Linked DNA regions of Solanum lycopersicum. The protein of the gene in region 2 interacts with the protein of the main gene of each other region in a pairwise test. Links are inferred from orthologs where the notes say so. Each region holds a gene or a part of one and is shown on either strand. Other genes may lie near its edges. The genes, in order: chlorophyll a-b binding protein 8, chloroplastic-like; ArcA2; fructose-bisphosphate aldolase 3, chloroplastic.

Region 1 (10,071 bases), on a different chromosome or scaffold from region 2:
GAGATATTTGGGAGAGAGGCGCCTGGCAATTTTTTGCAAACGTTTGCTATGAAGCACAATTAAATCAAACCCTAGCTACTCCATTTATTTTAGATTATTAGTTTGCTATGATATACAATTTTTATCGGAATATCGGAGATTTGATTTTATAATCGTAAAAAGTTTTTATTTTTTAAATAAAATATAAAAGATCTGAACAAAATATCTGTTTAATTTTTAATAAGAGATTATTTCCGTCAAACTATAAGAGTTTGGTCAAGATTTTGGAAAGTTAAAAGGGTTCTTTTTGGAGTTTTTATTTAGAAAACTTAAGGTGTTTTGACTATATTTTAGAAATAAAATAAGTATTTTTGAATGGTTGGAGATTACTATCCATTAATGGGAAAAGGGTCTGATATACCTCTCAACTTTGTCATTTAGAGCTGATATACCCCTTGTTATGAAAGTGGCTCATATATACCCCTACTTGTAAACAAATGACTCACATATACCTTTTTCCTCTAACGGAAATGAAAAAAAAATTAATTTTAATCTAAATTTTTATTATTTTTTTCTAAAAAATATAATCTCATATGAGTAAATTTAATCATCGTCAAACATATTTTTTTTTGACTTTTTTTGTTTCAATGACTAATTTATAATTATTATTTTGATAATCAAATTTATTTTTGTTTCACTAATATTCTTGTAAAACTTATTGTAGATGACCAAATTTTTTCTTCGAATACGAAATTAAATTACAATACACACACAAAAAAATAGTTTAATTTTTTTTTAAACTAAGGAATGAAAGAAAAAAACAAAATAAGAATAAGAAACTCAAATAATTATAATAAAAGAATTCAAAAAATAATTTATGTATGAAAAAAATTAAAATATACCTTGAACTTTAATAAAAGAATCATATATACCACTAAATAATTTTTTTAAAAGAATTAGAAGTAATAAATATAAATTTAAAACTAATTTTTCAACTTCCGTTAAATGAAGAGTATATGTGAGCCATTTTGTAATGGCAGGGGTATATGTGAGCCATTTTGTATAACGGTAAGGACATATATGAGCTAACGAGGGATATATCATCTTCAAATGACAAAGTTAAGGGGTATATCAAACCATTTTCCCTTCATTAATTTCCAGAAATTGTTGGTTCAATATTGATAAAAGTAATTTTCAAATGGATTAGTTTAATGTAGTAGTTTTCTTCAAAAGTTTATTTTTCTTCCAAGAAAAAAAAACTTATAATTAGAATCATTTTTCTAAGATACGTCGATTTTTTAAAAGTTTTGTAAAATTAATTATATTTGTGATAAACTTTTTACCTTGATAAAATTTATACATACATGTACTAGTACTATATAAACCAATGAAGATAAAAGAGTTCAAAATTATAGTAAAATCACTTTGGTTATGCTAGATTTTAAATATTCTTACACCGTAATTTCTTTTTTTTAAAAAAAAAAAAAACATGATCCATAACAAAAGTCAAACTTAACGTTTGAGGCTTGCGCTTTTACGTCCAGAACTTACTCCTCAAGTTCGAAAATGTATGACTTCTATTACTCCAGAGTGTTTTTTTATGTAAGGGAACTCTTAAACTATTCAAAAAAATTTAAAAATACCTCTCATTCACCTACTAGGTTAAAAATACCGTTTCATCCACCTTTCTGGTCCCCAATTACCCTTAAACTAACAATCTTTTATTTTTTTAATTATTATTATTATTATTAATTATTATGTGGCATCTTTTTATTGGATAAATTTAAATTTCAACCCGCCAAATTTTTTCTACCCATTTAACCCATATCCACATTCTTTGGCCCAAACCCAATTAAAAAATTATTCAACAATGTCAAAATAAAATTAATGATTGAATCAATTAGTATTTGAATTTGAAATTTACATAATGATATTTGAATTTAGTCATATCAAATATAACTAAAAAGCTCTTCTTGATTGTGTTTGAATTTGATCTTTCTTGTTTCTTCCTTTTGGTTCACACCATGAATTCAATTTTTTTAAGGAGAAATTACACTAGATAGCTCTTCTTAATCGTGATTTAATAGTGGAATTGATATAATTTGACTTGGTCTCGTTTCTTTCTTCCCCTTTTGGTTTACACCCTTTTCAAAAGATTCAATTTTCATGGTTGAGTTACACTAAATGAGTTGTTATTAATTGTGTTTTCATGGTCGCATTGAGAAAACCTGAATTGGGTCTTCTTATTTCTTCCTTTTGGTTCACTCTTTTCAAAGATTTTATTTTACATAGTGGAGTTACACAAAAAAGTTTTATTTGATTGTATTTTAATGATAGCATTGACGAAATTCTAACAAAATCAAGAAGAGCTTTTTAGTTCTAATTAGCATTAAATTCAGTAGTTATCATTGATTGAGGTTGTATATGGTGATGAGAAAGAGAGTAAGTTATTAGGTTGGAATGGTAGAGAAGAAATGTTCAAATATTTTATTTTTGATGAATTTTTAATTTGATTTGGGTAAAAAAAAATGTGGATATGGGTCAAATGGATAGAAAAGTTTTGGTGGGTTGAAATTTAAATTTATCCAATAGAAACATGTCACATAATAATTAATAATAATAATAATAATTAAAAAATAAAAAATTGTTAGTTTTAAGGGTAATTATGGACCAAAAACGAGAATGAAGGGGTATTTTTAACCCAATAGGTGAATGAGGAGTATTTATAAACCTTTTCTAATAGTCCAGGGTTATTTTTGACCCTTTTCCCTTTATGTAATCCGCCTAAAAACTCACCTCAAACACGTTTAAAAACACTGGAATGGATAAAAATGAGACGATGAACGTGAAATGTCACTTGTGAACTTATTTTCCTTTCTTTCATTAGATTAGTCATTAACTTATATTTATTTTCAAACAAACTTTTTTTTTGTAAGAAAAACAAAAAGGAGACAATGAACGTGAAATGTTACTAGAAGAAACTTAATTTCCTTTCTTTCATTAGTTAAGTCCTTATCTTTATTTTCTAACAAACTTATTTTTGTAAGGAAAACATCTTCCAAATACATTTTAGCCATATGTGAAAAAATTGCCATACCAAACTGACATCCATAATGTAAAACTTCTCAAAAGTATTATTTAGTAGAAACTTTTGAAGACCACCCTCTTGCCTTAACTTGTCTTTTTTTTTTTCTTCTTTTTAAATTCAAATTGATTGTCTTAATCTAATAAAAATTGTAGGTGGCACATCAATACTTCGACAATGGAGATCTTAGTAGATTGACTATCTGGCGTTTTATCTTATTGGTGAGAGTTCAACTCTCCCTCCACCTTTAAAACAACACTTAAAACATATATTTAATCCTCTTTTGTGTGGAATACTTAATAGTATTGATATTTACATTTACTTGAATTCCAAAAATGAAATTAAAATCTAGAGCAAGTATTTGCAGCCAACTAGAGTATCTGAAAATTCATTTATGAGACTAGGAGTGTATAAAATCTTCTATCCAAGTAATAATGCCACATGTGCTCTTTTCATTTGACAATATAATCCTTAACTTTATCTGAGAATTCAAGATTTCTTATGTCCACCACAACTTCTCTGTTTTCCATTAGCCCCACACTACACTTGCTGGCCTATACCTTTGTCCCTTATTTTGCTTGCCACCTTGTGTCTACTACTCTTGGAAGCTGAGTGTGTGTTCATCTTCAACACAAGTCAATTGCTCTAATCAGAAAACAAAAGATGGCAACACAGGCATTGATCTCTTCATCATCTATTGCATCCTCAACAGAGGCTGCCAGACAAATTCTAGGAGGAAGACCTTTCCAATCTCAAATCAAGAAGGCTTCCTTTGTTGTAAGGGCTACTGCCACTCCACCTGTTAAGGTAACACCCCTTTCTTCTTCCTTTCCTATGTGAATAACAAGAATATTGACATACATATACATACAATGGTCGTGTAGTTCGAATCAGCATATAGCATTGTTTGCATGTGTTGAGGTTTTCATCCCACTTCATTTACTACTAGGACACCCATGGGTTACATTTGGTTTGTGTGTGTATGGTGTACAACAGTGGAATTTGAGTCAGCTTTGCCTTTTGAGTTTTGACTAGTCCACCAGATACTTGTACTTCAAAGCTTAGGTAGATGAGAGAAGAAAGCATATGGCATCACTCCTCTCATTTGAAGCCTAGAATCTGGGGTTTTCAACTCACTTCATTTACCGTCAAGCTACACCATTGGGTTACATTTGATTTTTATGTATTGATATATTTTTGTGTTGAACAGCAAGGAGCAAATAGGCCTCTCTGGTTTGCCTCCAAGCAGAGCCTTTCATACTTAGATGGCAGGTAAGACTGATGGGACTCTCACTTAACCCTTATATACATTATTTCATAACTTGTGCATGTTGTCTATGCAACTTGTCTGATTACTCAATGAACTTCATTTGTATGTAATCCACAGCCTTCCTGGTGATTATGGATTTGATCCCCTGGGACTGTCAGACCCTGAAGGTACTGGAGGTTTCATTGAACCAAAATGGCTAGCATATGGAGAGGTCATCAATGGAAGATTTGCTATGTTGGGAGTAGTAGGAGCCATTGCGCCCGAGATTCTTGGAAAGGCTGGTCTCATCCCACCAGAGACGGCCCTTCCATGGTTCCAAACAGGAGTGATTCCTCCAGCTGGAACATACAACTATTGGGCAGACGGCTACACACTATTTGTACTGGAGATGGCACTCATGGGATTTGCTGAACACAGAAGATTCCAGGACTGGGCCAAGCCAGGTTCTATGGGTAAACAATACTTTTTGGGACTAGAGAAAGGCTTGGGAGGTTCTGGAGACCCAGCATACCCAGGTGGACCTTTCTTTAACCCTCTCGGGTTCGGAAAAGATGAGAAGTCTATGAAGGACTTAAAGCTAAAGGAGATTAAGAATGGAAGACTAGCTATGTTGGGTATCTTAGGTTACTTCATTCAAGGTTTGGTAACTGGAGTTGGACCTTACCAAAACCTCCTTGACCATTTGGCTGACCCTGCAAACAACAATGTCTTGACCAGCCTCAAGTTCCACTAAACAAGGAGCAAATCACCCTGTTTTAGCTACCCTGATCTGATATGTAAACATTATGTGCAGATATTATTTTGCATATCATTGTAATCAGCTAAAAAGGACATGTCAACAAAAACCTGTTTTTCCTGAGTTTTAGCTGTTAGCTTCCTGCTGCAGTTTCTGCAGCATTCTTTAGGATCATGTGTAAACTCAATTCTCTAAGACAAAAAAAAGAGCAAATACTGGATTAAACATAGCATTAAAAGACGTTAAACTAAATTTGCAGCAGAGAAACATGGATGAAAGCACAAAGGGATGTAACTTCCATGACGAATAGTCAGACCAGTAATAAGTAAACAGCATACTTGTGCAGGCCTCTTAATTATCAGTCTACTATCCTCAGTTGTGTCCAAATCTGACAGGTATTCCATCATAGGGGAAAAAGAAGTCGCTAAACAATACAGACAAAACAAGGACATCATTTGACATTATAAATAAACAATCATGGAAGAATAATCTGTCTGACCAACCAAACAAAATTAACTCGGTGAAGACCTTATTCTATTTCCTTTCTTTTTGATGACCAAGAAATCCAAAATGGCTAGTGGCGTGCAGTTTGGAACTCGGTGGATACTGCCCCTCTCCACTCTTCTAAACTTAATATCATGCTTTGTCGAACCCATGACATGCAACTAATCCACCATCAAGTGTTGCTCTCTTACCACTAGACCAAAACACTAGAGCAATGAAGACCTTATTCTCTTACATTACTGGCTATGATTCAAAATGTAATACAAAACCTCTTCAGTTTAGCTAGCGTATGGAATCACGTTCAGAAGTGCCACCATGAAGACTACAATCAGAAGATCAAAAACTAGAAAGTAGAGGCCTAAAGTACAGTGTCTTAGGTAGTTCTCTCACGATCCTGACATAAATTGTTCATCAAGCAGCATTAGCCAAAGGTTCACTTTCATTTGATGCTTCAAGCCTGCAAGGTTATAACCAATAATACAGGAGTCAAACAATGCAAAAATGAATTATAAGACAAGGCAAGTAGTGATGGCCTAATGGCATCCCATTTGCAGCTCTGAATTAGCTACTTCAAAGAACATGCAGCTCTGAATTAGCTACTTCAAAGAACATGATGAACTCTTCCATCTATCATCTTTTCCTGACATCTTACGACAGAATGTGAAGAAGTAGTAGTACAATAAAAGTTTTGTTACTTCATTTTGGAGTTATTTTTATTAGTATAATGCTTGTGCAATGCCTCGCCAAAAATGACAAGCATTCAAGAAAAACAGATAATTGGCTTTTATAGATGCTTAGCTTTCTAATGACAAATTAGTGTTTGGCACGAGTGCAAACTATTTTAAACCATTCGGTAGATATTATGAAGAAAAAAAATCCAAAAAATATTGTTAAAGCCCCCATGGCCATCTGCTAGACAGTGGTAAGCTCATATATTGGTTAGTTTCAAGAAATAAGCATTGTTTTGTCGGGATCTCTTTCTATGTTGGATCTCTTTCTAGGTGAACTGGTTCAACTCATGGACTGCATGAACGTGCAATCGGAAACAAAATCATTATTTTACTAGAAAGTAAAAGAAGAATGTATTCTAACTAAGCTGAAGTGAAATATGCAGTTAGTGGCAGGAAAGGAGGAAAACACTCATTAACAGAAGAAAAAAACCCACTTTCTGAAGCTTAAATAATATTCCTGCTTGAACTGGCAGGTTTCACAATCATGACATTAAATTCAAGATGGAAATTCAAGGATAACTTTTTCTGACATAATTTAACCAGGAAAAGTAGAAAATTACAGGTCATAAATATGAGTATAATTACCGCTGAAGTCCTTCGCCAACTTCCATTCTTAGAAAGCTTCCTATCTTAACTGGTGAACCAACATCCTTGGACAGATTGCTTAACAATGTCTGCAAGTTTTTCATAGATGAGTCAACTAGTTAGTCATCTATATAAACAACATATGAGAAGGCAATACATGTAAGAAACTATGCAAATTAGAAGCTGCAATGTCGTAGAATCTAAAACATGATTTAGGAACCAACTAAAAAAAATAACATCCTCAGAAATCCACAGCAAAAAAGTAATTTGATGTTTATAACAAGCATTTACTTTCATTTGGAATGGAATAGTCAGACAATTGCCAGGTGGTACCAAGTTATCTTTCTTCCTTCAAGGTGATATGTTAATTTAAGACTTGAACCTTGTACAAATCTCCTAACATATGTTATACAGAAATATATCTAGATAGGACCCAACACAACATAAAAGATACAAATTAAACAAGAGATGAGAATATGCACAAAAGTATGTTTGTAACTTCCAGCCTAGCCATTAACTCCATATGTGCAACAGTAGTTGGGCCAATAACAGTGAAAGTGCTTACAACTCTTTAATTTTCAAAAGATGGGCTCCCAAAAAAACAAATTACACAAACTGGTTTAAGTTGTTAGTTCCACAGATGTAAGAACCTTGTCGAAGAAGAGCTAAAGCCCTAAATCTCGATCAGGTTGAGTGCCTCATGCGCTTAAAAAAAACAATCAAATGCCTGTTCTTTATATTAAAAAAAAAGGTTCATCTATGAGGCTACTATGTTCGCTGCATATTCATCAAAACAATTTGTATGAAATATAAATTCAACTGATAAAGAATCTGGAATAAAAACAAATATGCAGGGATAAGTCAAAGTGATAGGTAACCAACTAAGCATTGCAAAAGGGTGACAAAGAGGACCAACAAGAACTATCCAAAACCAAGCTTCAAGACCCTATTCTGGGCATAGTCATATAGAAGAAGAGCATGTTGATTTAAGAGTAAGAGAAATAAGGGGTCGGTTGGTAGGGTGTATATGAATAATGCTAATTAGAGTGTATTAGTAATGTTTGCATTAATTATACATGATTATTTCACATGCATTGTTTGGTTTGATTTATTAAAAATAGCATGCATTGCATAAAAATATTTATTTACAAAGATACCCTTCACAATTATGGTGAAAAATATGTAAAAAAAGTTGAGGGGCAATGGGTTCTTAACCATGCTAATGCATGCATTAAAATCCTTTGCATTACTAATACCTAAAAATTCATGATATTAGTAATAAACCTTCATACACAATAGAGTGTATAACAAATACTTGCATTAGTTATGCATAGCATGAAAAAGTGTACCAAACAAGGTATTACTAATACACATTTAATAAATGCATTATTTTTGCTAATACACGCTACCAACGACCCCTAAGAGATTGAGGCCTATAACTCTACTGATACCTATTAAAGCTGTGGAGCAGTAGGAGAAAATTATGGATGAACATCTTAGTATATAAACAGACAATTTCTGAACTTTAGTATAAGAAAACCAGATAAATCTGAGTTCGAAATTAAAACTGTATATTAGCATCTGAATCAAAATTTTAAGATGGTTCTTCGGCTTAATCTTATATGGTTCCTTGAGATAACTGACATGCTATTGTATTTTAATTGACTGCAACACAAGTAACAAGTCCGTCAGTGCTTCCTCTGATGCCTTCAATTCATTCTTCTTCATTTTGTCGTTTTGTTGTGGTGTTCTTTTTCTGTAGTTGGTATCAGAAAGTTCGCCTAAACTTGGATAAACTCCATAAAAAGGTGGATCACCCAACAAATGGACCAGCTCAAAGAGAGGAGGAAGGCAGGAACTATGCTTTCAGAGGTGTCAGCCAAAAATTATGACTACGGGGATATTTTTAGTTCCTCTGCTCAGTCATTATTCAATATAGTAATTTTTATTCTCCTATTTTGTATACATACATAGAGACACATAATCTGTCTTCATTCTGCATTTTTAGTCACTAAAACGCATGTACTTAGTTGCATTTTGCACTTAAAGCATCAGCAGACCTTGGACTATGGCAAGAGAGTGACCTTCTAGTGAAAGGGAGTAGAAACAGAAATCTAGCAAAATGGCATCCTAACTAAAAGATTACTTTCTTACCTTCACATTCATTGTGTCATTCACAATAAATTTCTGCTCCATCAAAACCACTTCCTCAAAATACTTGCGCAAACGACCTTCAACCATTTTTTCTACAGCAATCTGAGGCTTCCCAGAACTCTCTGCCTGTAAAGGAAAACATAATTGCTTAGAACTTGAATTTAGTCAATTTACAAAACCTTAAAAGATGATGAAACATGATGAATGCACGCTTCATAATTGATCAAACATATTGGGGTTGATGCTGACGTTGCTGAAACATACTGAAGCGCTGGAATAATCTTCTGGGCCAAACAGTTGATTTAGGACAACTAAAGTAAAACAAAAATGACGAATAAGACATATCATATCCTTGTTAAGTAGAAAGAAACAAAAACTATTAGATTACAAGATAATAATGCTCCAACCACATTCCACCCCAACCTTCAACCCAAAAAAGGAAAAAGAAAAAGAAAAGAAAGAAAGGAACAATGATGTATAACAAACAGTTTATTTCTGAGCACAAGCATCATAAATCAGATTTTACTGGTCTGTTAGTCTTTGATTTCATAAATCCTATATCTTTACATGAACCCATCAGAAACAAGTCATAACTTTGCATTGACAAGTACCTGAGATTTGAGAATCTCGCGTTCATTGCTTAGCGCATCAGAGGAAACATCTTCTTTTGTTAAGAACAATGGCTTTGCAGCAACTACATGCATAGCTAATTCTGATCCAACACGCTGAAGTGCATCTTCTGAGACATTCTTATCTTCTACTTCAAGTGATAAAATTCCGGCAATACGTCCAACACCTGCATATTTTCACAAGCATTAAATCTACTATTACTGCAAAAAAAACAAAATTCCAGTTCTTTTATGACGTGATATAATAATAGCAAAAGCATCCAGAAGATGCATAGAGTACAAAATAAAAGAAGATATTAGCTCCTAAGAAGAACTCAAAAAGTGTATCATAAGACTAGGAAGTTGATAAGATCCAAAAAATGATCAGGGTTATATGCACATCACCAAGTCAGAGAGAA
Region 2 (10,224 bases):
TCTTTTTTTTTTAAATTTTAAAAAATCATTTATTGTGGAGCGCTGGAGTAATTGTTAAATGAAGTGTAAGAGAATAAACTTGTAACAAGGAGAGGGTCCTACTTAAAAGTAAAAGAAGGGAAGTTTCCCATCCTTGAACTGGCTGCTACTGCGTAATCTGTCCTTGTTTGGTGGGCCATTTGTTTATCAATGTAAAAAAGAGGGATGGGTGTCTACCTTGCTTTGAGTTGTCAAGCTAGTATTGGTGTAAAACATACTCTTCTGAAACAATCATTAAGGTCATTGACACTCGATTTTTCATTAGGGCATCCATAGGAGTATATAAAGTCCTACCCCGCTCCATCTTGTAGAAACTTGGGTTGGACATTTAGATTCTTTCACATGGTATCAAAGCCAAACTTTGATGTATCCATTTGCACAATAACATTCATCATATTTTATTGCTCTGGGCTTCTTTCGCCCAGCTTAGTCCTTTAAAATGCTCTGAACTTTAAACCCACTCCTTCGCATGTTGAGCCTACTCTCCTCTCAGATCAAGGCCCAATTTTCAGCCTCTTGAGCCTGCTCTCCTCTCAGCCCCAGGCCCACTTTCCAGCATCTTGTAGAGACTTGGGTTGGACATTTAGATTCTTTCACATGGTATCAAAGCCAAACTTTGATGTACCCATTTGCACAATAACATTCATCATGTTTTATTGCTCTGGGCTTCTTTCGCCCAGCTTAGTCCTTTAAAATGCTCTGAACTTTAAACCCACTCCTTCGCATGTTGAGCCTACTCTCCTCTCAGATCAAGGCCCAATTTTCAGCCTCTTGAGCTTGCTCTCCTCTCAGCCCCAGGCCCACTTTCCAGCATGTTGAGCCTAATGTCTCTCCCGACATTAAGTTCACACTTCCAATCTTCTCAAACTCAAGATGCAAGTTATGTATGCTGGAGGGTTAGAGAATAAACTTGTTCCTCATCATTTATGTAAGGGTTTCATGGGGGCCAATATAGTCCTGGGCAGCTCCACTCATAGTCTTAAGGTCTTAGGTGGATGCTAAGATTCTTTCACGAACTGCTATTTGTGTAGGAAATAGTTGTCTGGTCATGACTACACAAGTTTTTGTGGAAGGGGTGCGTTTTTAGCTGCTAGGTTGCTTTCTGATTGTTTAAGTTTTTGTTTGTAGGCCCAGAGCAACAAAGGATGATATGGCTCCTAGGTGTGATACAATGTCTGAAATGGAGAAGCCACATGCTGAGGGGAGTGAAGGTCCAGAGTCTTCTCATCTTTTAAAAAGCAGTTTGTTACCTTCTAGAGACCAGGGTTGTAATGATGCAATGAAGAATAAAAGACCGTCTAAACTGCGTCGTAGAAAGACAAAAAAATCTACACCAAATGATAAGGTTCCAGAGGCTTCTGCTTCCACTGATTCTACTATTGCAGATGGCAATATCTGCAAAAGGAGGAGGAGGAGTACCAGTTCACTGGTGAAGAAAAAGAGTAGAACTGTCCCCTCTGCTTCCAGTATGGTTGAATCTACTACTGCAGATGGCAATATCTGCAAGAGGAGGAGGAGAGCCAGTTCGTTAGTGAAGCCAAAGAGTAGAGAGAGTTCATCATCTTTGCCAAATCTGTCTTCGTCAATGGCAGTTGTTGAAGAGGCTGAGTCACTTGTTCAAGACAGCAGGAAGGCCAAGAATGTTATGGATAAATGCAATTCCGCAAGTGAATATGATGATCCCTGTATTAGCCCTCAAGGTCATCCATTGGCACATCCACACTTGGATGAAGGGACAGCTGATCTTAATGTTGGTGAGAATGAAAATGCCTCTGCAACAGGGTTCCAGGATTACTCTTTACTTCTTCAAAGAAATGCTGTTGTGTGCACTGATGAAAATGCTAGTCAGTTCGAAGCTTCTGCGACACCTGGCACTCGGGAAGGTGAGGATTGTGGAGCTTCTGTTTGTCACAAGCTTAATAAATGCAATCAATTGGAGAATAATGTCAAGTCTTCCTTAGATTATCTGCCGCAAACAGCAGATGACGGCATGACCCTTGCTTCTTTTGTCTGTAAATTGCGAGCAAAGGTAAGTTCATCGTCTTCTACTAAGGTTGCCAGGTTGCATTCGGGCAAAGCTCCAAGTAAAGCTATGTCTGGAGATCACTGTAGCAGATCTTGTATATCTGGTGGTCATGATGGGATGGAGAAGAGAAGTAAACAAGAATGCACCAGTTCCAATCAGACATCAGGGACTAAAGTAGAGGATGACATGCCCCTCTCTTCTTTCATTGGCAGAGTGAAGAAAAGGGAGTGTACTGAAGTAGGGGATGACATGCTTCTCTCTCTCTTTGTGGGCAGATTGAAAAGGGAGCGACACTAATTTCTTTTTATAGATTTCCAAGGCTGCATATTATTCTCTGAAGCTATGGTATGGGCCAAAACTGATTCATCCTATCTTCATCTTGGATGCATACATCTACATTGCACAAAAAATTTCAGGTTGCTGGGGGAAACCTAATGAGGTTCACTTGTATAGGCGATCACGATTGGGAAAGTTTTCTCTATTTCCCGCTGGATGCATGAGTTATAAATTGCTCTAATGTATTTTTGTTCTTCAAATTCAGAAGCCATTCTTTCTAATACTATTGGGAGAGCTCTGAAGACGTGGTTCGGGCCTTGGGGGTACTGCATCAGCACTTTTGTCCCTTGTCAATATTACTGTAGAATTTTGTTACCTCTTCGCACTGCGATGAATGTTTTTGTAATCTATAGCATACTATTACCATATAGTTACAATTTTGGTTTGACATACATGCGTATTTTGTTATGATCTTAATGCGTAATCCTTTGGTTGGTTTCATTTTTTAAGTACTAGTTTTAATGGATAATTATAGTTCTATAACTTTTGGTGATAAGTTTAGAAAAATAGCAAGTGTAGGGATTTTTGTGTGTATATTAAGTATAAATATACACATACAAAGAATATAATTGCATACTACTAAAACTATGCCATTAACGTATTGTCTTTCTTTCCCCAGTCAGCGTTAGCTGGTTCTTACTTACATACTTACTTAAACTAGTTGAGGCCGCTTGTGTGGGTCTTGCCTTGCATGGCTGTAATTCAAATAATTTGAGGCTGGTTAGGTTGGTTATTCGGTTGAAATGCAAATGCCGTGTGAGTAGGTGTGAGAAGTTAGATATACTGGGTACGAGGAGAGACTGTAAACTTATGATAGGCCGAATAAGCATTGGAGAGAGATTGTTAGTCATGATATGATACACTTTCATTTTTATTGACAATTAGCCCTGTTGCCTGTCGTGGTATTAGCCCTATTCTTGGAACAACAGATATCTATCATATTGTTTGTTGTATCTTGCTTATCACACTATCAGTGATGTTACCTTTTTCACTAATTACTTGTTAGTTTTCTGCTGCCATTTTTCCATCTCATACTTAAATTTACACTTGTTTCGAAAAATTATTTTGGTAACAACCTCTTCACATTCATTAGGTAGAAGTATATCTTAACCTTCTCAATTCCACTTGTAAAAATTTACTAGATATATTATTATTGTTGTGGTATACTTATTCTGGTCCTATTATTTCAATTTTTATTAAAAATAACTAATCCTATGATAATTACTAACTCCGACATAATTTATGTTGAAATTATTAATTAACAATGAAATAATATTACGCAAACTATTTATGCTTGTCCCATCTACCAAACTCGGCTCGATAAAGTGGTGAAGCTAATTACCCCTCACCCTTGAAATGGATATATCCCATGCAGGCCCAGTAACATGACCCAATTTGCCTAATGGACCTGTAACCCTCAACATTTCTCGCAAAAACCCTAAAATTGAGACATACTATAAAGACATACTATAAATTCTCACCTGTGAAAGGTTAGGGTTTCTCTTCACTGCTGTATCGTCGTCTCACTTGCCTTTCAGAGGATAACCGGAGCGGCGACCACCTTGCTTGACAAAATGGCGCAAGAATCACTTGTCCTTCGCGGCACCATGAAAGCCCACACCGATTGGGTCACTGCCATCGCCACCCCAATTGATAACTCTGACATGATTGTTACTTCCTCCAGGGACAAGTCCATCATTGTCTGGTCTCTCACCAAGGATGGCGCACAGTACGGTGTCCCCCGCCGCCGTCTCACAGGCCACGGCCACTTTGTTCAGGATGTTGTTCTCTCCTCCGACGGTATGTTTGCTCTCTCTGGTTCTTGGGATGGAGAGCTTCGCCTTTGGGATCTTCAAGCCGGCACTACTGCTCGCCGTTTTGTTGGTCACACTAAGGATGTTCTCTCCGTTGCTTTTTCCGTTGATAACCGTCAGATTGTGTCCGCTTCACGGGACAAGTCTATCAAGTTGTGGAACACTCTCGGTGAGTGTAAATACACCATTCAGGACGGAGACTCACACTCCGATTGGGTTTCGTGTGTGCGTTTCAGCCCAAACACTCTCCAGCCAACTATTGTTTCTGGTTCCTGGGATCGTACTGTGAAAATCTGGAACCTCACCAACTGTAAGCTGCGTTCGACTCTTGCTGGACACTCTGGCTATGTGAACACTGTGGCAGTGTCACCTGATGGTTCCTTGTGCGCTAGTGGTGGCAAGGATGGAGTTATTTTGCTCTGGGATTTGGCTGAGGGGAAGAAGCTCTACTCCCTTGACGCTGGCTCCATCATTCATACTCTCTGCTTTAGTCCTAACAGGTACTGGCTCTGCGCAGCCACCGAGTCTAGCATTAAGATTTGGGACTTGGAGAGCAAGAGCATCGTGGTTGACCTTAAAGTTGATCTCAAGCATGAGAGTGAGATGGCTAACGAGAGTGGAACTGCACCAAAAACCAAGGTATTTTTATTATGCATTTACTTGTTCATGGTTGCATAATATTCTTCTGTTGTGTGAACATAATTCTATTATGAATGCTTGGAAATTTATTATTGTATGTAGGGTAAGATGATTAACATATTCAATAAATTCACATTTGCCTCCAATTAGCGTAGGTGTGTAGATTAACAGCTACAATTTTATAATTGCATAGCATTAGGATGATAAATTTGGTTTTGGGTCAATGCTTCAAATACGAAATTCATCAGCAGCTTATTGTTGATTGACTCTTAAGGCTTCTCTTAGATTATTCCAGTTTTCTTGTTGCCATGTTGCTTTACTTGAATAGGAAATGAGCAACCTTGGACCATTCCCCGAGACTACGTCCTTGATGCTTTTAATGATTTTGGATAGCTCTTTATGATATGAACTATTGATCGCCCCGTCAATTTTTCATTTTGCGGGATAATATGAATGTAAATTTGGGTTCTTTTGTGTTTTGTACAGCTTCTTACTCCAATGCTTATTTAGGTTGCTTTAGTATATTTAGAGGTTACATGTTCAGCAATTCAGTATATCACAAACAATGTAGAAGTGTAGTTATGTTACTTTTGTATTGATTTCTTGATATATCCACGGTTGTAACGTCTTGTTACCAATTAACATTTTGCTAATATTGCTGAATCCTTTTGGCAGGTCATTTACTGTACCAGTTTGAGTTGGAGTGCTGATGGAAGCACACTTTTCAGCGGATATACAGATGGTTTGATTAGGGTTTGGGGTATTGGGCGTTACTAGGAATTGCATCTAGGCAAGCTTTTTGGCTATAGTCTCCATTAAAGACGTTTAGATTGTCCTTGAAAATGTATCTGGATTCTCTTTGTTTCTCATGAGTTTGAGAGTTTTGATGTTCCATTTTTGGAATTCTGTTTAGAATTTCGTTACAAGCTTGTGTTGCTGTTATTCCTCCCGGGCTGGTTATGTTTTCAATGCTTTGACCTAATACATGGTTGGATAAGAACCTGCAAGTCACCTTTTTGAATTCATATTCATTGTCCTACTAGTGAAGTTATTGTTACCCTCTCTTTTCCTAGGTTTTACAAGTTTTTCAGTTAAGCAGCATAGAATGTGAAGTTGTGAAAACTTCAAGTTATCGTGAAGGGGAACCTAAATTGGTTTTGTCATTGGTATTATTTTCGAGACCATTTGAGCACGAAAGTATTGATGGATATGCTTTGTCCATTATTTTTTCATGCATTATTGTGTGTTGTTTGGTTTGTTCATACACAATTGACTGGTGCTCATGGTTTGATAGAAAAATTGATTCAAACTGTAATAATGTCATATGCAAGGGTTAGATTAGGTTACAGAAATCATATATATCGACAAAAATGAGATGTTTCTCATCTGCTATATGATTTTCGTATTTGTTTGTCTCTTCTTGAAACAAGGAACATTTTCTTCATCTAATTATTTTTTTAACCAAAAGAATAATGGGAAATGATTTTTAAAACCACTACGAAGATTAGCTTAGCTAGGATGAGATAACAAAAGTAGGGGTTAGACCTTGTTTTTTGGATCTCTATATTTGGTGACTTTCTTGTAGAAGTATCCAATGTGTTGTTTTTTCGACTTAAACATCAATTTTAGGGTTCTGAGAGTGTGTCCATCGTGATCTTAATTTTTGAATTGTGATACGTGTTACGTATGCATCAGGACATATGAAAATTAAGGTAACTAGTCTTAACAATTCCAAATAGAAATGATTCCAATTAAGAATGAATAATGGAAGAACTTGACTTTAATTATAAATTCATGGGAATACTTGAGTTTTTAGTGAGAAACTAAAAAACAATTGGTAGGTATATAAATGTGACTTCTTTCTGTTTTAATTGGTTCGAGGTTTAAAAATTAAAATTATACTTTTTTATATTATTATTTTGAACATGATATATTTAAAAAAATCTAATGTACACGAATCTAATTGATAAAGGAAATTGACTTTAAAAATACAAATCTAACAATAACAAATTATAAGAGAAACTAAGGTTTATTATACGTCTTTTTATCTTTAACTAAAGATTTCGTGATTAAAAAAGACGGAAGTTTATTCATGGTTTTAGGGCTGCAAACGTGACCCTGGGGATAAGCGGAATCTAGAGAAACTTGAGGGACAGTGTATGTAATTATTGCAATTCCTTGTATAGAATAATATAATATTAATGTCAATCATATTATATAATTTTTATTGAATGTCTAAAATAAACCAGCACATCTACTTTTAGTAATTGCAAGGTTCAAAGTCGGAAGTGGCCATCACTACCTAAAGCAATTCTTCCACGGTAGCCTCCGACGATATTGCCGGGAAAGTAAATTAAAATTCCGGCCAAAATCCAGGCCGGCGTCCGGCGACATAAACACACAATAACCTGAGCAACTTGTATTTGGATTGGATGTGGTTTGTAAATTCTATCCCTCACTTTTTACAAGTAAAATATCAATTTGGGTATGAAATTGTACGTGCAGTGAAGCTTTTGTTCTATACCTTTTGCTTTGTCGCAGTTCAAGATTCCTTTTTTTTTTGTGCTGTTTTTTGAGAAGTATTTTGTAATTGCAAATTGGTTGTTCATGTGAGATGTATGATTTGAGAGTGTGTAGTGGTAGGTAATTTGATTGATTAGAAGAGGCAACTGTTGTGGTATTGTTGTTTCAGGGTTTTGTCCTTTTCTGACGCTGGTTTTATTGGGTCAGGGAATTTTGGAGAAGGCATAAGAGGAAGGTATATGTTACATTTGGAGTTCTTGGAAGTGGCTACCTTTTGTATAAGCTGTATGAAGGACACAAGCGGCGACTCTCTGATCTTGAGAGGGAACTTGCAGATGAGAAGAGAAATGATGAACTCATTAGATCCCAGTAAAGATTTTCTCTTTTTAATGTTTATTTTCCTGTAAAGGTGTACTCTTTCCTTTTCATCATGTTTGGTGGATGATATGATATTATGCTCAGAGTTATTTGTCTCTCATCTGTAGGATCAAGGAACACTTCGGGAAAATTCAGACAATCGCCGATTCAACGACATTGCCCCATGTAATGCGACATTTAAGTAGTCGAATAGAAGAAGACTTGGACCTCACACACTTGATGGAGAGGCTGATGAAAGGGAAAGACGAACCAAATTCTCTAACTGCTGCGGAGAAGCTGGAGCTGTGGGACAGACTTAAAATTTCAAGTATGGACTTATGCACCCATATAGTTTGCTTTAGTATTCTGTAGTGGTGTTAGCTTATGATGTTGTATCTCGTGCCTATCCAGATTTTACCAGAATTGTGTTGTCTCTTTGGGCGACCACAATGCTAAGCTTATACATTAGAGTTCAAGTCAATATATTAGGGAGACATCTTTATATTGATACTGCGCGTGGCCTTGGAAGCTCTATTCAACTTGTAAGAACTGCCTCTTTTTACTTGACATGAGTATGATTATATCTTGCATTTGTATTGATTGTTCTATCTAGAATCTGTTGAAGTTATAAGTATTGCCTCTAGATGATTTGATTCCCCACATCTATGTGGTTGTATATTGGATATTCTGTGTGAAAATGAATTAGTCAGACGGTTAATGAATCTCTTTGCTATGTATTGATAATGTATCTTGCAGAGCTTTAATTAATCTGCGGCATATTGTTGACAACAATTCTCAACTCTTTTAGTAATTCCTTTATTTTTTTAAAATCAAGAATATTCTTAGAGTTCTATGTGATGAGAAGATACCTACTAAGTTAAAAATATATTCTACAATATGGTCCTTATAAAAGATCTCTTCAAAATGGTTTTGAGACCAACAATATTGCATGAGAGTGAATGTAAGGCGCATCATACCCTTGATAAATGTTGTACAAATACAATTGAATATAAGGTCATACATGTAGACAAAATTAGAAAAATTATAGCTTATAGAGAGTTGAATGAGAGGGATAGAAGATGAGTTGAAGATCCTTCAACTTTTAAGATGGATTTTTTCTCATGATGCTTGGACTTGTATTGTTTGCTTATGCACGTTGTGTATATAATTGTTTGTTTTGTATAAAGTAACAAATTTATTACCCCCACCCCCATTTGACTTGACACAAATTTTAAGTAAAGATGAAGACGTTTGGAACTTGTAGTCTAAAATAAATCTTAGATATTTGTGTGACTTATAAGTTATTTAATTAAGGAAGAGTTTCTGTTCGTTTTTCCTTGAGAAGGTAAGTAGATCATGAAAATGTGTCATTCTTTTTGGAATAAACTAGAAAGGAAAAGATGCCATATTAATTGGGACCTAGGAAGTATTATGCTGTGGTGCACCCATGGTCTTAAATTCCTGGATCCGCCTTTGGCCCGGAAGTCTAAAGCCCCTTATAATGTTAACTGTTTCATGTAATTTGTGGTTCATGATGCATCCCTTCAACATCCTACATAAAGAGTGTGTTTTTGTGCAGTAGATATTTCATGAGTAACAAAAAAATGGAAAGTTGCAGCCACCTATTTCTTGCATTGCTCGTTAGCTAGAAAGATTTAGACATTGTTCTTTCGGGTTTTCAAGATGACCACTGTTTTTCCATAAACAGTCAAAAACTGAGTTGTTGGAAGTGCAGGGGGTTAGTAAACCATTAAAGAAGATTTGTTGTACCATCCCTGCATGTATATGCTGGAATATATGGAAGGAATGAAATGTGGGATGTTTTGAAGGGAAGAAAGTGGACAACAACTTAACTACAATGTTTATGGATTTTGATGAAAACTACAGAATGTGAAGGATGAAAATAGAATGTTAGATTTCATAGATCTTTACGGGAATAGGACCTTTATTGAAGATATCCTCATCTTCTTTTTTCGTACAATAGGATTACCGACTCTTGTATGTCTTAACACCAATTTGGTGCCAAGTGACTTGCCTTTTTTATCCAAGAAGAATAGAAGAGTAGGGCAGTAAGAGAGGAAACTCGACCTTGGGCAATCATGTGGGCATGATAAAGGAATTTCAATATTATTGTCTTAGAAGTTTAACAAATAAAGTATTTAGTCAATAATGAAAGAAGACATAATACCCCCTTATTCACTTACCTCTCTGTATCTTTATTGTTTTTCATTAGGAAGACAGAATAGGATTCTTCTTCTTTTGAGTAGACGACATTGGTATTCTCTGGCACTTCTTTGCATTCGAAATAATCTTGTCCCATAAAGGGGAAGACTTGTGATGACTATCTGGATGTGTTGTACCAAGGATACCAAAAGAAATTCAAGAAGTGTCCAGGGAAAGGGATGAGGACGACAGAGGTACAAGAACAGAAACTACATGACATACGTACATTAAATGGGAGCCTAATTATGATAAATTATTAAGGTGGTC
Region 3 (10,642 bases), on a different chromosome or scaffold from region 2:
TAGTACCTAAATCACCTTCAGAATTGGAGGTGATAGTAGTGTGCCCCAATAATAACCAAAACATACTCAAAACCAATAGCAGAGATCAATAAGGAGGAAAGGAAGTCTCTGTTCATTCTCTGGGTAAGTGCATTATCAAATCCCCTAGTCCAGAGAGCTTCCTAGATATGTATTATAAGCTCTATTATCACGGCGTCACATACTTGGTTATTATTTTGCTGCTATTGTGCTCCCTGGACGCATGCTGAATAAACCTATGATTGTTTTTTATGTGATTTTATTAAAAAATTTGGATAGTATTAACTAATTTGCTTAAGCCTTAAGTCCGTGATTTTTACAATTGTTTCTGCTTTGAAAATGTCTTGGTCTGACCTGGATTATCCAAGACGGTGTCATTCTTACCCAAGAATTATTAAAAGCATGGGAGTCACTGGTGATTATCCATATTTATCCCTCTTTTCTTTTGGAATTGATACTTGCAAAGCGGAAAGCCCTCTGATAGAATTAACTAGGACTTCTTACAGCGTCCTTCTCAATACAAGCTCCTCTTCTGTACCATTCTGGCTTATCATGTATCATAACTTCATCTCCATCTATCCTTTTGAATGATTAACGTGTTGAACTCATTTTTATACTTACTGTGGTCTTTGAAAGGGATCCTCTATCCCATGCTTGTTCATTCTTTGTTGAGATGCCCTTTCTAGGGTCCATATATAAGTACTATATAGAACATGTATAAGAGGGACCTGATCTTGGTTGCAGTATCCGAAGAACATAAATTTGCTTTCATTGAGTCTATTTACTTCCCACTCTCATTTACCGTCTTGGTTCATATTCTTCTGAGCTACATTTTCCACAAAGTTGATATGAAGATTATTCTTTTTCTTGACCTGTAAACCAACTCAACCGGGGAGAGGATAAACAAAGAAAAGGTCTCTTTAATTTTACTCATCTTTAAAAAATTAAGTTGAGTATCTGGTCTAGAGATGGCTCTCTTCTTTTCTAGAGATGGCTCTCTTCTTTCTAGCAGTAAATGGAAAATATCATAAATTTAAGTCCTTTCTACCTGGAAATTGCATCTTAGTTGGTAGAGAAGGTTTCCATAAGTGTCTTAAATGGAAAATGGGTCATGTGAAAACAATTAAGGTCTTCGGTAACTCTATCCCATTTACAACTGAAGTGATCCATTTCCTCCATTTTCCTTTGAAACATTGCTCCTGAGATCCTAACCATTCCCACTTTGCCATTTTGCTATGGATTATCATATAATTGTGCGTGTTATTTGGATTTTGTGAGTCTAACTGATCCCATTCTTTCCAACAAGAGTTTAAAGATATTTACTCCAACATCTACACTCCTCCCTCAGCTGTTAAATTTTAAGTTTATAGGGTTGCTTAGAAAATTCCTTCGCCTCTCTTAAGCTTTTGTTCACTTGGAAGTTTTTTAACAGACTTCCTCCCAAAGCTGGGTTAGGTAAGAGAACTTCTGTTAATTTCTTGTTGGCTCATGGCCCACATGTCATATATATAATTTATTAGAGTAGAAATTGTTTATGCTGAAAACTGGAATTCTCAGTGTAATCCCACAGGTGGGGTATGGGAGGATTGAGTGTACGCAGACTTACCCCTATCTTGTGGAGGTAGAGAGTTGTTTCCGAGAGACCTTGGCTTAAGTAATAAGGAGTGCCTTTTTTAGGATTATGAGATAGAAACTGTACGCAATCTATTCTTGAATTTGCCTTCACTTAGATTCACCTTCTTTCCACCTATTCTTTGGAGTTATCCTATTTAGTGTTCTTAAAGCCTCTTCTCTAAAGTGTATAGACCATGGTCCTTACTCATTACTCAATTACTCTTTCTATTCTTCCATTAAGTATTTGGAAACATGGAATGTAGTTCTGTTCCAGCGATTCACAGTTTTTAACAGTAGCTAATAGTTAAGAAGCCTTTCAGGAGATGATGGTCAAGAATATGATTGAAGCCAGGAAACTACTACAGCCTATATGCTCACACTCTCCAAAAATGCAAGAGTGAGTGTTGGATCCTTTTGGAGAGTCCGAGCAACATTGACCATAGTTTCTTACATGGCAGCATCCTTTTAGCCTCACAAGAAGTGGTTATCGAAAAACTATTCTTAGTTCTTATCATCAGAAACTTGAGTCCCGTGTGATCTCAATTCCTACAATATTGCCAAAGCTTTTTCTGTGTCTTACTAAACTTATTGACTTTATGTATTTGGTTTATTTCTAATCAACTCTCTTTTGTTGATCAGGTTATAGGAAGGGGGCGGCATTACATTCAGATTAGTCCATCATTCTCAGCTGTCATATCTCAATCAAGAAAAACAACAATCTAAAAACGAGCTAAGCCCGCCAAGAAGGCTTCCCAAAGCAGATATATATAGCTAAGTTCGGTTTTGTTTTTGCAGAGTTCAATCTTGTTGATGGAGTAGAGGCAGTTTCTTTTGTATGGACCCAATACTTTACATTAGACTGTATTTTTATTTGGACAAATGTTGTATGAAATGTCAAAGGGGGTATAATACACACTGGTTAACCACAATATGGTTTAAATATTTGTAATTTAAAGTTCAGCCATGGTTGCTGTACCAAATGAAGTATCCCCATAACACCTCAAATTCATACTAAAACTATGCTTTCACAAGTCGTACCCCCAGAACTAAGATAAGAACGCAACAAATAATCATACTCATTGCAAATTCTCAAAGCAAATTAGTTTTGTTCTGAAAAAAGATTCTGGCTAACAAAGAGGAATTTAAACTATGAAGAGCAAATGGAGACATGGAAAATATTACCCGTTTTAAGAAGTTCTCAATATAATTATACAAGATTTTCTACACAACCGAGCATTTTCTGGGATTGTATTTCGACGAATCACCCCTCATAGCTTATTAGTGAAGTACAGTACTAATGTAAGATCAAAAAAGAAGAAAGAGCAATTAGTTCTCTCTTCAGCATTCGAATCTAGCAAACAACAAAAACTGAAAAATACACAAAAAGAAAGTCGCATCAAAGCAAAGTGTGCTTAGTAGGTGTAGCCCTTGACAAACATTCCCTTCTTGGCTTCCTCACTTTCACCTTCTGCGGAGTATTTTCCGAGCTGAGCCAAGGAGTTTGCTTTTGCACGAATCAAGAGTGCCCTCTGTGCAGCATCCACATTCTCAGGACGTCCTTGCCATGTCTTGAGCACTGTGTTCTGGAGTGCTCTTGCATATGAGAAAGATACATGCCATGGGTTGGGGCTCTGGTTCATTTCGTGGAGGTTGAGTGTCGCTTCCACTTCAGATTGTCCTCCGGACAGAAACTGATAAGTAGAAAAACACGATTTTTAGCACAGTTGAACAAGAAAAAGAGAAAGAGAAAGAAAGTAGCAACTTAACTATAGTTTTTCAAAGAAATAAGGTCCAAGAGTGTAGTTTCTATAAAGTCTAATCTTTCTATGGATAATTTTGATCAAATGAGAAACAAATGAGCGAATTGAAGAAAGTAAGTCGTACCATGATTCCAGGAACTGCAGGAGGAACTCTTCTCCTCAACATGGTAAGTGTGTATTTAGCAATGGTTTCTGGGGTAGCCTTCTCTTTGTGTTCAGCACCAGGAGTAACCATGCTAGGTTTGAGCAAAATACCTTCAAAAACGACATTGTTTTCTGCTAGGTAGTAGAAGACTTCTGCCCAAACACGTTCCGCAACTTCAAGGGTTCGTTCTATTGGGTGGTCACCATCCAAAAGAATCTCAGGCTCTACTATTGGCACTAAACCATTGTCCTGTAGGAAAAAAAATGATCTTTAACCATCCATAAATAGAAAGACAAACTTCCATTGTTCCCCAGATCATGCAGATTCTTAAAAATTATCCTCCAATTCTGAAGATCGGAGGATATCCAAAAACAAGTTCAACCAACTAAGGGGGTGGGTCTGTTGACTTAATTATCTCACATTTTCTAGTACAACTTCGGAAAGATAGAAAAAGTCCTAAAAGTTACCTGAGATATAGCAGCATATCGAGCAAGACCCCAAGCTGCTTCTTTTACAGCCAAAGCAGAAGGACCGCAAGGAATGCTAACAACTGTTCTCCTGAAAATTTTGAAGCCGCATGCCATTTATGTTCCATAACTCTTCAGAAAAGTTAAATGCACTTTGATCTTCCGAGGAAAGAATAAGAGAAAACATGAGAGAGGAATAGCAGTAGAAAAGTGCAAGGTCACAACATACCACTTGGCAAAACGTGCCCCTTGCTTGTAGTATTCAGCAGACCTAGAAGCCAATCCATCCAATCCTTGGCACCAGGATTCATTGTTGGATCCTGGTAGGGGAACCAAACCCTGTAAGTAAAAAAAGAACTGTTAAATTGCACGAAGTTCACCAACAAAAATATTTGCAACAAAAGTTTAAGAAAGGTAGCAGCAAAATCCTAAAGCACAGAAGAAGTTACACAAGGCATAGAAACAAGTTAAAAAGGACACCTTGTCAACTTTGATTCCAGGTACAATCTTCTGATCGCGCAAGACATCAACAAACTTCTTCCCATCGGTAGTGGACTGGAAAAGTGTCTCTTCGAATAGAATGGATCCAGAGATGTAATCACCTAGGCCAGGAGTGGTCAACAAGAGTTGACGGTAAGCTTGTCTGTTTGCTTCTGTGTTGTCCAGACCAATTGACGCCAGTCTCTTTCCGGCAGTTGCATTCGATTCATCAATGGCAAGGATGCCCCTTCCAGGAGAAGCAATAGTTTTCTACATCAAGTAAGCAATAGACAAATGTTCAGCATTATTACATTTTGCAGAACATCTTTTACCCTGCATTCTCCAAGTTTACAAGAATGTTAAGCAAAGGTGAGTTATAAGCGGGTGGATACAATGTAGTTGTTACTTCATGCAAGAGAACCAATTTATAGATACAGCTGAACATATCAACATCAACATATAAAAACAAAGTTTACCAACTAAACATTTTCCTAATCCAGCGAATCCAAGATATTAAATCCAATCAGAAAACATGCAAACAAATGAAGTGTGTGTGCCTGGGAGAGATATCACTTTCATGTAGCTCTGGGAAACAAATTTTCAAGTCATCAACCTAAATTTAAGATTTTGAAGTCCTTCTTAAATTAGGGGGTAAGGTCACTGTACACACTACCCTCCCCATGCCCCACTTGCAGGACTACACTGGTATGTTAACATGTTGTAGTTGTTGTAAAATTAGAATGAACCATGTAGCTGTTTTAGCTGTTTATAACTACAGCCAACTTTATCAGCATCACTATAAACAATACCAACACAACAATTCTGACCAAAAAGCAAACCTCTTAAACTTCCATCAACCTACTGAACCAACAGCAGCAAACTTTCAAAATTCAGTAAATTAGCACACATTTTCTAACCAAAAATTCAACTTAAAATGCATGATCTAAACTAAAAAGAAGCTACTAGATCCAACTGATACTACAGCCAAACATATCAACATCAGCATAAAAATCTAAATAAACAAAAAGTTGACCAAACTAAACCTTTCCAATTTCAACCAATCCAACGAACCAAGGCAGCGCAGTTGCAAAAAATTCCAGTATTACAGCGGAATTCAATACAAAAAATACATTATCCAAACGAAAAATATAAAACAAATCAAGTTACACCGGAAAAGAAAACTTATAGATCCGATCATAAACCATGCAAACACATAAAAGTGAGAAACGCAAACACACATACATATATACATATATAGATAAACAGAGAGAGAGAGAGTGTTACAGCGGTTTTGATGAGCTCATCGGTGTAAGATCCAGCAGCACGGATGACTGAAACACGGCGATTCGAAACAGGCAACCGGCAGGAAGATCCAGACCGTTGATTGAACGATTGTTGACCGATCCATGAAGATGACGATGCGTTGAGCTTCACCAAACTAGAACTCGCCATTTTTTTCTCCTGAAAATCGCCTCTTTTTTCTCTCTCTCTACAAAAGAAATTGAGCTTTTTGAGTATAAAACGTCGCTGTTGAAACAATATATAGAAAATGAAAGTTTGGTGGGTTGGTAGCGACGGCTAACAGTGTGTGTGCTTATTTTTTTGTTATTTGGTGTCCTCGAAGAGTCCGCTAGTAAACAGTATGGACAATTCAAGCTACGGAGATACCAAATGAATAATAAGAAAACTCGAGATTTCGAATTCGAGCCTTATGTTATTAGGTAATATATATTTTTATAATTAGATTAAAATGAAAATGAAATAATTAGATTAAATTTTTTACGCAATAAAATGAATGTGGAATTTATTTTGTATGTTTTTATGATTTGAAAGGTTTTGGTGTAGATGAAAAATGTTACTTAACCCAAATATATTTTGTGAATGGATGAATATTGATTGGTTCGGTTTGATTTTAAAATATCGAATTGATTTATTGGTAGGTTTATAAATTAAATTAATTGATTTATTAATTACTGTTTTATCGGTTATTGATCATTAACAATTTAAATGTTAAGATTTGACATTTTTTTATATATAAAATGTTAGAAGAAGGGGACAAACCAAATGGATCGTGCATTGCATTTTTGTTCAAAAGCAAAGGTTATCACATTTATAGAATAATTAAGAGTTTGACACAACGAAATAAACTACACCCATTCCATATTCAGTGAATTTTTGAGACATTTTTCATTTTCCAAAATTATTAAGTTTACAAAACTACTTTTAGAATGTTCTAATTTTACCCTTCATTTGAATTTTTAATTTGATGACTTCAATATATTTGACAAATAACTAATAAGGGTAAAAACGAAAAACTATGTCCAATTTATATTTTAATATATTTTTCTTAAAAGGATATGAAACACCTCGACAATTCAATAAATATGGAATGGAAGGAGTATGAAACTAAACCCTAAGTCCACGCTATATATGTGAAAAATGATACTCCTTCCGTTTCAAAAAGAGTGATTTAGTTTGACTTAACACGGAGTTTAGAAATATATATTAAAACTTTTAAATCTTGTGATCTTAAATAAAAGTCATGTCAAATATACAAAATTACAACTTTTTAATCCCGTGACTTTAAACATGTCACGTGGAAAACTGAAATTAAAATATTACTAAAAAAAATATCGTTTTTTTTAAACAAACGAAAAAGGAAAGTGAGTTATTCGTTTGAAAATATATAGAGTATAATAATAATTTTTTAATTTACGATTGAGTTCACTTAAGTAACTTTTTAAGAAAATATCTCAAATCATTAAAATCGTTATTAAAATCATTAACTATATAACCTATTTTCTATTCGAATTATCGGTTTTGAACTGGCCTTAAAGTTACATATTCTAATTATCTAAAAAATAAAATTAGAAAAACAGATAAAATAAATTAACAAAATAAAAAATGTTTAAGAATTGACAAATCTAAACCCTAAAAAGATCTTCATCACCCTCAGCAAAATCTCAGCTGAAAAAAAAAACCCTAATCTCCATTTGATAGAATGATCCTATAACATTCAAAATTCTTCCTGCAAATCCCAAAATTCAGAATCTGAATCAAAAATTGTTGAACTGAATCAATGTCTCAAGATGGAGCAACAGCTATGGATTGGAAGAAGGATGGTCAATCAACAAACTCTACCGGAAATGGCATGGGGAATTGTGTTCGGAATGGATCAAACGGTGTTGTTTACCCACCGTACGCTTCTCACCGGCTGCGATTGAACCCTAGTGTTGATCACAAACCGGATAACTATGATGACCTTCAATTGGATTTCAGTCCGTTGTTGTTTAGTTCCCTTGAACGTTATCTTCCGCCTGCTCTTCTCAACTCATCACGTGACCAGAAGGTTCATTTCATGCGTGAAATTCTCCTCCGTTACTTTCCTGAAGGCGAACGCACTCGTGTAAGTTATCGAATTTTCATTTCTGCATTTTGAGTTTTGCATGTGTCGAGTCCTTATTTTTATGTGCATTTTGATGAGTGTGTATATACGATGTAAGCTTGTGTGTGAATTGAGCTATGATAGAATGCTAAGAAGCTGGAAATGAAATAAAAGTGGGGATTTGTACTGCAATGTATTTAGCATCCTAGTTTTCTGGGCACTGAGCTGAGATAGAATGCTAAGAAGCTGAAAATGTAAAACATTTGGGAGGTGTATTGCAAAATGTTGCATGTAGTTTAGCACAGTTTGATTAGTGTACATATCATATGAATTGAGCTGTGATAGAACACTGAAGCTGAAAATGGAAATAAATTAGAAGATAGATTTTTTTTGTGCTTTGGATTGCAATTTTTTCTATGTATTAGGCTTCATTGTTTTTTTCTGCACTGTTTGATTATTTTGATTAGGTTAGAATGTGAGGCTGTGAATTGACCTGTGATAGACTGTTGAGAAGCTGGAAAATTGTGGGCTTTGCATTATAAGATTTAGCATGTATTTTTCCTTTATTTGAGTTTGCTGTACCCTCTAGGTACAGTTATTTTCAATGTGGATTCCGGTTTTCTAGTGCTTGTTTCTAATTTGAGTACATGAAAATCCTTTGTTAGTTAGTGCTAGAAAAATGGCAAAGGGAGTTTTTTGAGCTCAATTATGTGCAGAGTTGTGAATTGAGATGTGATAGAATGCTGTTATGCTAACAATAACGAAAAGAAGTTAAAAAGATGAAAATTTCTGGGACTTTTGGTTGGTTATTACTGGAAATTTTTCAGGCGTTGTATTGCTTGTAACTGCCTTATGCAAGTTGCTGTTAGATACTCAGGATTAGTAGTGAATAACTTGGAAAACATAGTGTCCGCCTTTAACTATCAGTTGATCTTGTGTTCTGCAGAAGTGTTTATGCTATTTTTTGGATTTTGATTTATCTTTTGTATAGTTTGAGAAGTAAAAATTTAAAAGACTATCTGAAGTGAATTAAAAAAATAGTAAATCTTTTAACTGGATGGGAAATATTTCTGTACAAATATGGGATGTTGTTTGTTTCTCATGAAGTTTTGAAGCACTCACCATTGATAGTTAGCGTAGACGATTGCTGTTATTTGTAGAGAACCTTTCTTTGGTGTAGTTCTTTACTTTTTTCTAAATACACACTAGGATCACAAAAATATTTTCCACAAATTCAATGCAATTATTACTTTTTCAAAGGGAAAAGAGATTTGTAAGCTTAAGGTCCAATCTACTTTGAATTTGAGTACAATGAACATTTTGAAAGGGTTACAATTTTATTGCAAAACTGAGTAGCTGTTTACTTCAACAACTACTACTATCTTCAACCCCAAGAAGGCAAGAAGTTGGGTTTGACAAGATGAATCCTTACTATATCTTTCAATTCAAGCTTATCTCTGACCAATATTACACCATAAAAAATAAAAAAAGAAGTTCTCTATTTTTTTTGTGGGCATATAATGAGAGTAGATTTTTTTTTTGAAACATATATAAGCCAGTTGCTAATGATTTGAAGGCTTTTCAGATGGATTGGATCCTGATTAAAAATGCAGTGACTAGATATATAATTTCTATCTTATGATGACTATAATGTTGTGTCCCTTTTGTCGTGTTCTACATACTAAGCTTTTTTCTTGTTGGACACAGCATTTTGCTTTTTTCTTTTGAATAATTCAGGGGAGATGTGACCCCAGTATAGATGAATATATGAACAACCAAAATTTTGGTTTAAAAGAACTGATAATGTAAGTTAAACCTACCTGGTTATTGTTTATAATGTGGTGGAATAGTTGAGCAAACCATCCCAGTCTCCTAGTGAAAGCCTTGTTTACATGCGAATTATTTGGAATGCTGTCTGCTGATAAAGTCTTCTCTGACTGTTCTTGGTTTCCAAAAAATTTCCCTGCTATTTGTGAAATTCACACTCTCTCTTTCGTAACTCTATCAATATTATATTGTTTCATCTCCTCTGCTTTAACAGGTCCAGAAGCATAGAGAATACAGACAGAAGATTATATCAAACTATCAGGTATTTACATTTTGCTGAAGGGATTTGGGGTTAATATTTTAATGATAATTGTAAATACAGAAAAAGGTCAAAACTACCGTTAAACTATACGAAATAGCTTATATACCCTTAAACTATATTTCGGCTCAAAAATATACTTGCAGGGTTGATCGCCTTCTTTTTCTAATTTGCTTGCCTTCTATTCTAGCCTCTACACAGGGAATTATATACGATGCATGCTCAAAATTTCTTTGTGCCATCATTTCTCAAGGCAATTAGTGAGAACTCAGAGGAAAGTTTCAGGAACATAATGTCTGAACCCTCTCCTGGAGTTTTTACGTTCGAAATGCTTCAACCACGATTTTGTGAGATGTTGTTGGCTGAGGTATTAGCTGCCTTGCTGCTTGTATTTGCAGGCAATCTACTTCCTTTTTTGTAGTTTATCTTTTCTGTTTTCTTATCAGGCTCTAATTGATTAGGTAGAAAACTTTGAGAGGTGGGTCCGTGAGACGAAATTCAGAATAATGCGTCCCAATACGATGAACAGATTTGGTGCCGTTCTTGATGACTTTGGCCTTGACGCCATGCTGGAGAAGTTGATGGAAGATTTCATTCGTCCCATTTCGAGAGGTAAGAACTTGTATATTTTTATTAGGATGCAGCAAAGAAAACAAAGAGGAGCTTAGTGAGAAGATTACCTGGATC

What was found.
Region 1: the proteins of ArcA2 (region 2) and chlorophyll a-b binding protein 8, chloroplastic-like interact in a two-hybrid assay, tested with the Arabidopsis thaliana proteins (2 studies listed by BioGRID, with this or other methods). The link is inferred for Solanum lycopersicum from reciprocal best matches to the Arabidopsis thaliana genes ATARCA and LHCA3.
Region 3: the proteins of ArcA2 (region 2) and fructose-bisphosphate aldolase 3, chloroplastic interact in a two-hybrid assay, tested with the Arabidopsis thaliana proteins (2 studies listed by BioGRID, with this or other methods). The link is inferred for Solanum lycopersicum from reciprocal best matches to the Arabidopsis thaliana genes ATARCA and PDE345.

Annotation. Positions count from the first base shown.
Region 1 is NC_090811.1:4,546,846-4,556,916, reverse strand, and holds chlorophyll a-b binding protein 8, chloroplastic-like, read left to right. Parts: upstream 1-3,565; 5' UTR 3,566-3,727; coding exon 3,728-3,871; intron 3,872-4,274; coding exon 4,275-4,336; intron 4,337-4,451; coding exon 4,452-5,067; 3' UTR 5,068-5,193; downstream 5,194-10,071. Other genes in the region: ER49 (ethylene-responsive elongation factor EF-Ts precursor), read right to left, coding at 5,986-6,031, 6,891-6,979, 9,045-9,170, 9,656-9,840. UniProt on the Arabidopsis thaliana protein: The light-harvesting complex (LHC) functions as a light receptor, it captures and delivers excitation energy to photosystems with which it is closely associated, here photosystem I.
Region 2 is NC_090802.1:64,604,759-64,614,982, reverse strand, and holds ArcA2 (guanine nucleotide-binding protein subunit beta-like protein), read left to right. Parts: upstream 1-3,897; 5' UTR 3,898-3,975; coding exon 3,976-4,854; intron 4,855-5,529; coding exon 5,530-5,631; 3' UTR 5,632-5,878; downstream 5,879-10,224. Other genes in the region: uncharacterized protein, read left to right, coding at 1,168-2,362; peroxisome biogenesis protein 3-2, read left to right, coding at 7,287-7,291, 7,585-7,746, 7,863-8,062, 8,146-8,276. UniProt on the Arabidopsis thaliana protein: Major component of the RACK1 regulatory proteins that play a role in multiple signal transduction pathways. Involved in multiple hormone responses and developmental processes.
Region 3 is NC_090804.1:3,184,699-3,195,340, forward strand, and holds fructose-bisphosphate aldolase 3, chloroplastic, read right to left. Parts: upstream 6,189-10,642; 5' UTR 5,937-6,188; coding exon 5,769-5,936; intron 4,755-5,768; coding exon 4,485-4,754; intron 4,344-4,484; coding exon 4,234-4,343; intron 4,096-4,233; coding exon 4,005-4,095; intron 3,787-4,004; coding exon 3,517-3,786; intron 3,324-3,516; coding exon 3,045-3,323; 3' UTR 2,811-3,044; downstream 1-2,810. Other genes in the region: 2-oxoglutarate and iron-dependent oxygenase domain-containing protein CP2, read left to right, coding at 7,564-7,890, 9,911-9,958, 10,146-10,322, 10,417-10,567. UniProt on the Arabidopsis thaliana protein: Plays a key role in glycolysis and gluconeogenesis.